Schizosaccharomyces pombe: one gene and its partner. The protein of the gene in region 1 purifies or fractionates together with the protein of each later gene. This does not show direct contact. Each region holds a gene or a part of one and is shown on either strand. Other genes may lie near its edges.

Region 1 (3,758 bases):
TTTCACAAAATTTGCGGGCCATAATGTACATGATATTTAGGAAGAGCTTAATGCTAGACAATAGTTTCTTCGAGTAAAACTTAAGTTTTGTATAATAGTATTTTTGGTTTTAAAATTGAATAAAAGCGGGGACTGTTCGCCGTCCGATAAGTTATTCCGGTATGTCAAATCCCAAAAGTTAACATCAGTATCTGCACCTCCGGAAACCAGAATTTTGTTATCATATGAAAAAGAAAGAGAATAAACGATACTAGAGTGTTTAACGAATGAAACGTGCTGATTACTACTTCTGAGATCCCACACTTTTATTATGCCCGATTCATCAGCAGATGCCAACGATAAGCCATCAGCAGACATACACAATGCAGAAACAGGAGAATGATGGGCATTAAACACGCGAACTGTTCCACCAGTGCGAACGTCCCACATTCTAGTTGTATGATCACTAGATCCTGTAGCAAGATAAGCTGCATTCGGATGAAATGAAACACACTAAATCAAGGTTAGTTACTGCTCATAAGAATTGTTAGTTAAATAAAGTTCCTTACATCCACATCATTTTGATGTCCAACAAATACTCTCAAAGGTGCTGCATGCTCAACATCCCATAGACGTGCTGTTTGGTCGTGCGAGGCTGTTGCAAAATAATAGCCGAAAGGGGAAAACTGAACGTCCCAAATCGGCGCATTATGACCAGCATATTTGACAATAGTGGACTTAGTATCCTTGGACCACAAACGAGTAAAGCCATCCTCAGAGCATGACAGTATAAACTCTTTTTGAGGAGAGATGCTCACTCCAAAAACTGGTCTCGTATGTCCAATTAAAGAGGACTTTTGTAAAGGCTCATTTTGACTTCCCACTAATGGTTGCGGACCATTGTTAGTAGAACTGTACAAATGAATTGAAGAGTCTGCGCAACCCAGAGCGAACATAGAGGCGTCATCAGAGAATGCAGCACAATTTACAGCGGAAAGTGTATTGTGCATGGTATACATGAAAACACTAGGATCCGTAGCATTTTTTCCGAGTATTAAAGAATTCTGTTCGCTTTCCAGTAAAGAAACAAAATAGTCTATGTCCTTCATTTTGGTTGGAGGTAATGGGGGATCAGATGGTGATTCTAGAGTTGATTCGTTGATTAGATTTTCTTTTTCAGTCAGCAATTCGACAAGGTTCTTTGCAGGATGCAATATTTTATTCAGAGCTTCATTTCTTCCCTCCACGTCTTTATCTTTTACTTCTAACAAGTTTTTTAAAGTTGTGACAACTTCTTCTGACAAGGGACGTAATCCAAGTTGTATGCTTTGCTTGTTGTAATCAAGAAGCTGTTCGGAATGGCCAGGAATTCCTTCTTGCTCACTAATTATTGTCTGTTCATTTTTAGCTTCGTCCATTTCATAGACCGCTTGCACATTAGGGTCCTCCTTGCCCTCGACTTGAGGCATAGTAATTTTTATATCAATGTACTGATTCAATAAGCGAATTATTATTCCACTTCCATTGACTTCGTTTTCGAACAAAAACTGTACTAGTAAATCAAATGTAGACCTCGTGAAATTAATCCGGTATTTATTTTTGCGATAAAGCTGAGCTATTTCTATCTCCTCAACGTCTGATGCAATCTTCAACTGAGCTAATGCTCGAATGTCATAGCCATGCAACACTTCATGCTCTATACGAAATGATTCAAAGAAGTATATTGCCATTTCGGGATCATTTTTTTGCAGTAAGTCTAAGTAAGAGTGTACAAAAATTGGATAAAGGACTTTTTGTAGTTTTGGCTTATACAAATCTAATGTACCATCAATCCAATCTCTTAATAAAATATAAACTTGTACATAAGTTTCAGAAGCACCGATGTGCCAGTCTTGCTGTTCTTCAGGAATTGCGCCAACACTGGATATTTCCAACCGAAGCATAGCTTCAGTCCTGGAATAACCCTTTTTAAACAGATAGTCCAAAACAATCTTGTTTAAATCTGAAGTTGAATTACCAGAAGAGTAGGAAGATTGAGCCATTTTTAGTAGTTAGTCATGCGTTTACTTCTTTTATACGTGTGTCGACTGCCACCTAGGTATTCGAAGTGTTAAAAAATATCTTTCGGCTTATCACGTTTTCAGAAGAATGTATAATATATTTTTCTTCTATAGTTTAACAACTTTTAATAATTTTGTGGTGGTGTTGAATAGTCCATCTGGCATCCTTAGTTGGACTGTGTATCTAAACTCAAACGAAGCGTTGACTCACCATATCTAATAATTGCAGCTATCTTTCTTATTTTTTTAAGAATTGGAATTGTTGATATATATGTATGATCAAATGAACTGCTTCGCATTTTATCATCTAAAGATTAGACTAATAAGTCTACCGATTTTAGGATTTGACAACTTAATATTTCTTAATGACGCTATATGAAATTCGTTAATTCAGCAATAGTAAATCAATGGATAGGATGAAGAACAATTTTCGTTTCAATATAAACGACGTTGTTAAACATTATTATTAGTACAGCCTGATTATTGTTATGTAGTCAATTTTAATTACATTATAAATTTGTAAGTGATTTCCTCTTACCTCATATTTCATTAGCGATCAGTGAATTTTGTTTGAGCCGCAGAACAACTTTCCGTAAATAAATTACTTTGAATACTTTGCCATAGTAATCTGTTAATTATTATGCGATATCCAAATTTGTTATTCTTGGCCTTACCGATATCTGAGCACTATATCGAGGAATCTTTAAAGTATTTTAAACTAACATCTAATGATCCCATGATATTATCTGGATTTCGTGGCCCTCGTGTCTCACATCTTACTATTGGTATGATCCCGGTTAAAAACGACGAAGACGTTCTCAAGTGCATGGATTTTTTATACAACAAAGAGGATGAAATCCGAAAATCCTATGGCGAGAAAAAGATTACAATCGATTTAAAGGGAACTTCTTTCTTTGGGAAATCTCCTCAGGAAGCCAAGGTGCTGTATGCTACTCCAGTGGACAAGCATAATGGTAATGACTTACAAGCCTTTTGTGGTACGGAGTTTTTATTTTTTTTATTAATAAGCTAATTCATAGAATGGTTAAAAGTTATTTTCACTGAACACAATCTTTTTACTAAAGACGCTAGACCTCTTACTGTACGCATTATGCGATGTTAACCAAATTATAATTTTGCTAACAAAACTAGCTACACTGCACCTTGTTAAATTCCAGGTATATAAAATACCAGGGGCGACGTATCAGGTTTTTTAATTCGGAACCTTTTATGGAAAAATACGGTCAATTTCTTTGGGCTCATAATATTGAACTTGATAAACTAAGTATTATGAAAACAGGCGCTGTTGGAGAACCGGGTAATATGTATTATGAAGAGTTAGCCTCAATTCCTTTACTCGTTAATGATTGATTATAAAGGTAGTAGTTGTTGTTTACAAAAACGCTTTTGGAATCGATTGTTTACCACATGATAGTCACATGTGTAAACAAATATGAAATTGGTCATAGAAGTAATATCGGTGCAATTTATAACTCATTTTGTTTTGACGAAGCACAAATATATAATATAGCTCCTTTTACCATCATTTCTCGAAATTGATTGAAATTTTGGAAACTATTCAAATTATTTTGAGATCCTTTATTATAATTGATTTCACATATACATGCTGATAATTTGACAATGGAAGACAAAATTGAAGGTAATAAACGAACCATTCACATCTTTTAACACATCTCATAGTTTGCTTGCAAAAGGCTA
Region 2 (3,758 bases), on another chromosome or scaffold:
GTTAGTACCTTGCTGCTTTTTATATTCTTCAAATAAATATTGTTGACGAGCTCTAAGGATAATTTTGTCATCTATATCAGTAACGTTTTGTACAAATGTAATGTTATATCCAAAATAAGATTGTAAGATTCTTCGAAGGATATCAGTTGTCACATAATTACGAGCATGCCCCATATGACTAGCATCATATACCGTAGGTCCACAGCAGTACCATGTTAAGTTGGAACCATTTGAAACAAAAGGCACCTTGCTATGAGTTAAGGTGTTGTATACATAGAGCTCCGTTCTTTGTCCTTTAGGAACACCCCAATGCGATTGAGCGGGATTTCTAGTCGACATTAGATTTTTATTAAAAAAGCGACTAGAACTATTGAAACAACGAGCCACGAGTTTAAAAATCGTGATTTTGATTATTTTGTCGTTGAGTTGGGTAAAAATTTGGCAGGATAACCTGAATTAAGATAACGGAGTATTTGATGCGCAATTTTACAGGTTATTGTTAGTACTTGAACTAAGCAAGCAAAAACATTTTGCAAACAAAAAATAAAAACAAAATTTCAATACCTAATTATATTTTTCCTCATATTAAACTAGTAAAGTAGCCAATAGATTTATTTCATCTTTTTTTTTTTTTTTTTTTGACGATATTATTGCAAATAAGTTGTTGGTTTCCATCTCAGCATACCAATTGATATGCTTTGAAAATGTCTTATCCGTATTAATCTTAGTTTTGTTGAATCGAAAATATTTAAACAACTCTGGTGTCCTCATATGTTTCTGCCTTCATTACAGATCTTCTATAGTTTTTGCATTAAAGCCATTTAATTGAATGACATTGTCAAGTTATTGATATTAGATAAAAATTTGAATTTTACATTTCAAAAAGTAAATATCATGTTATCTTATTTCTTTCTGTAAAGGATACTTTAAATTACTAACAAAGAAACTTTGAAATCATATTTTAGAACAATTTATTAATATGCATCAGGAGGTTATTATAACAAAGAATGACATTTATCTCAAAAGACTAACAATGGTTTATCGTCTCTTGGATACCGTTTAAAACAAATACTTCTTTTATAGTTTAAGAAAACCCTTATAAAGACTTGAGGGATTAATGATTTGTTTTTGTTTTCTTTAATTAAAAAAAAAAAAAAAAAAAAAAAAAAAAACTCAGATCGATTTATATTTTCTTTCTGCAATTTCACATTTTATTAATTGAATGATAAAATAACAAGTAGCGATGGAATACTATATTCGTGAAACGCTAATTACAGATTTTCAGGATGTTAAGACTTTAAAAAATAAAAGAAAATGCTTCAGTTTCTTTTTTGAACTTAGATTATTTTCCCCTCAATGTTTGTTTATAGTATATTTTTTTTATTTACTACACGTGAGAATAAACACCTCTCCTTTGTTTATAAAAACTACGACACGACCAACAGCGTTAATCCATATAACAAAATACAGTGAAGCGTTAGCGTCGAGACTGCTGAAAGGGCATATGACGCAGCTCTCACTCCGTACCATCCTTCCACCTGCGCACACAAAAAATTTACATCGCCAGCAACCAACTACTTGGTTAGATAGCTAGTGCCTTTGTTCAAATTTTATACCAAAGCTTGATTCAGCTTTTCTAGACTAAATGCGGTACTTTATTTTGCACTTCCTATACTCATTTTCGTCTATATCTCGTTCGTATTGCGTTTGAAGGACTTTTTTTTGTAAACGAGAAATTTATACATAGAAGCTAATAAGAAAGTTGTAAAAACGTATTTTATAAATAAAAAATCGCGCATTTCTTTACTATTCAGCCATCGCCGCGGTTTCACAACACTCAGAAACCCTAACCCTGAAAGATCGGGTATATATAAATAAGTGCAGCAGCCGTCACCTGCAGGCTTTCCATTAGGGGTGGGATAACGCAATTCTACGAGTAGCGTAAAATAATAATTGATTTACTGCAATGGATTTCGCTTTACCCACCACGGCCTCGCAAGCGAGTGCCTTTATGAATAACTCTTCTTTAACGTTCCCTGTTCTCCCCAATGCCAATAACGAGGCTACAAATGAGACGGCAGATTCCGGGGATGCAGAAGTTTCAAAAAATGAAGGTGTATCTGGCATTGTTCCAACCCTTCAAAATATTGTTGCTACTGTAAACTTAGAGTAAGTCGTGCCTCTTTGGATAGGGAACAAGGCGTATTGCCGTCGCGGTGAGTTCATCGGAAATCTTTTGTATAGACATGGCGTTTGGGTAAGAGCGATTGTTAATGGTTATTTGATTTTTGTTTTGTTTATATTTAACTACCATGTCACGAGATTTCCGAAGGCAATGACCGCAGGGGATGATACGTCTCGTTAACAAAATTTTCCATTGAGTTAGCAAATTAGACCTTATTACTAATAATCCTCTTAAAATAGCTGTCGTCTTGATCTCAAAACTATTGCGCTACATGCACGTAATGCAGAATACAACCCAAAAGTACGTTAAACCCTTTTAATTTTGTTTGAGGTCTGTTATTGACCAAACATAGCGTTTTGCCGCTGTTATTATGCGTATCCGTGAACCCAAGTCTACTGCATTGATTTTCGCGTCTGGTAAAATGGTTGTTTTGGGTGGCAAATCCGAGGATGACTCCAAGCTCGCGTCTAGAAAGTATGCGCGTATCATCCAAAAACTCGGTTTTAATGCCAAGTTCACGGATTTTAAGATTCAGAACATTGTAGGAAGTTGCGATGTTAAATTTCCAATTCGTTTGGAAGGTTTGGCTTACTCCCACGGTACTTTCTCATCTGTAAGTTCATCATCTTTAAAGATGTTGTTGCTGTTAAAAGACGAATAAGTATCTAACTGTTCTTTTTTAGTATGAGCCTGAGTTGTTTCCCGGTTTGATTTATCGCATGGTAAAACCAAAAGTTGTTCTATTGATTTTTGTTTCTGGTAAAATTGTTTTAACTGGTGCGAAAGTCCGTGAGGAAATTTACCAAGCTTTTGAAGCCATTTATCCAGTATTGTCTGAATTTCGAAAACATTAAGGCATGTCAACAGTTATCACACAGTTTTGTGTCAATGTTCATGGGTATTGTTGGGTAAAAGACCTTAGTCGGGGTCAGGTTATTTTTTGATCTTTAACATTAAACCCTTAAAAAGCTTTCCGGAGAATCCCCTTCACTGTAAGTCATCATTTATGAGTATTTTTATATGATGCAGATGATAGAGACATCCTTTGAAAAGTTTTTTCTTCAAAATCAGAAACTGATCTGTGAGTTTCTTCTTTTACGGCGCAACACAGCTTTATTCAAGAAAACTATAGAGGCTGAAATTGCGTATCTTATTTGAAAACCTGCAGTTGATGAATGTGTGCTCTTAAAAGTGCGTGCAAGTGTCTTCGCGATACTACTTGTTTTCCTCTGTGTTTATCATTAAACATTAGTTGAGCATTGCTTCATTAAATCTTCTAGCTTCAGGACTGGTGGCCAAATCGGTACAATGTTCTGTATAGCTTTGTATAATTCATTTTTTCATGATCGTGTAATAATAATAATAATCTTTTAAAAATTGAAATAATTTGGTTTTAGTCTGAAGAGCGTATATCGACAGTTCTTAAAAAGTATTGATTCCATTCGAAAATTAGACGATTATGATACTATGGAGTTTAAAGGAACTGAGTATCTGCTGTTCCTGTAAAATACTTTAAGTTCTTAATAGCGCTAATAGAAGGAAATGCGTAAACATGAACACTAATACGGTAATC

Evidence for each region. Proteins that work in one complex are often made in the same cells at the same time.
Region 2: the proteins of taf51 (region 1) and tbp1 purify together in Schizosaccharomyces pombe (affinity purification with western blotting, with the first as the bait; 2 studies listed by BioGRID). This does not show direct contact.

The regions. Positions count from the first base shown.
Region 1 is NC_003423.3:3,032,144-3,035,901, reverse strand, and holds the start of taf51 (transcription initiation factor TFIID subunit taf73), read right to left. Parts: upstream 2,196-3,758; 5' UTR 2,022-2,195; coding exon 549-2,021; exon of another isoform or gene 493-548; coding exon 37-492; 3' UTR 1-36. Other genes in the region: SPOM_SPBC15D4.13C (ASCC1 family protein), read left to right, coding at 2,680-3,013, 3,080-3,141, 3,192-3,410.
Region 2 is NC_003424.3:4,413,581-4,417,338, forward strand, and holds tbp1 (TATA-binding protein (TBP)), read left to right. Parts: upstream 1-1,898; 5' UTR 1,899-1,966; coding exon 1,967-2,169; exon of another isoform or gene 2,170-2,424; coding exon 2,425-2,485; exon of another isoform or gene 2,486-2,537; coding exon 2,538-2,798; exon of another isoform or gene 2,799-2,868; coding exon 2,869-3,039; 3' UTR 3,040-3,571; downstream 3,572-3,758. Other genes in the region: SPOM_SPAC29E6.06C (cysteine--tRNA(Cys) ligase Crs1), read right to left, coding at 1-339; SPOM_SPAC29E6.07 (uncharacterized protein), read left to right, coding at 1,244-1,594. UniProt on the Schizosaccharomyces pombe protein: General transcription factor that functions at the core of the DNA-binding multiprotein factor TFIID.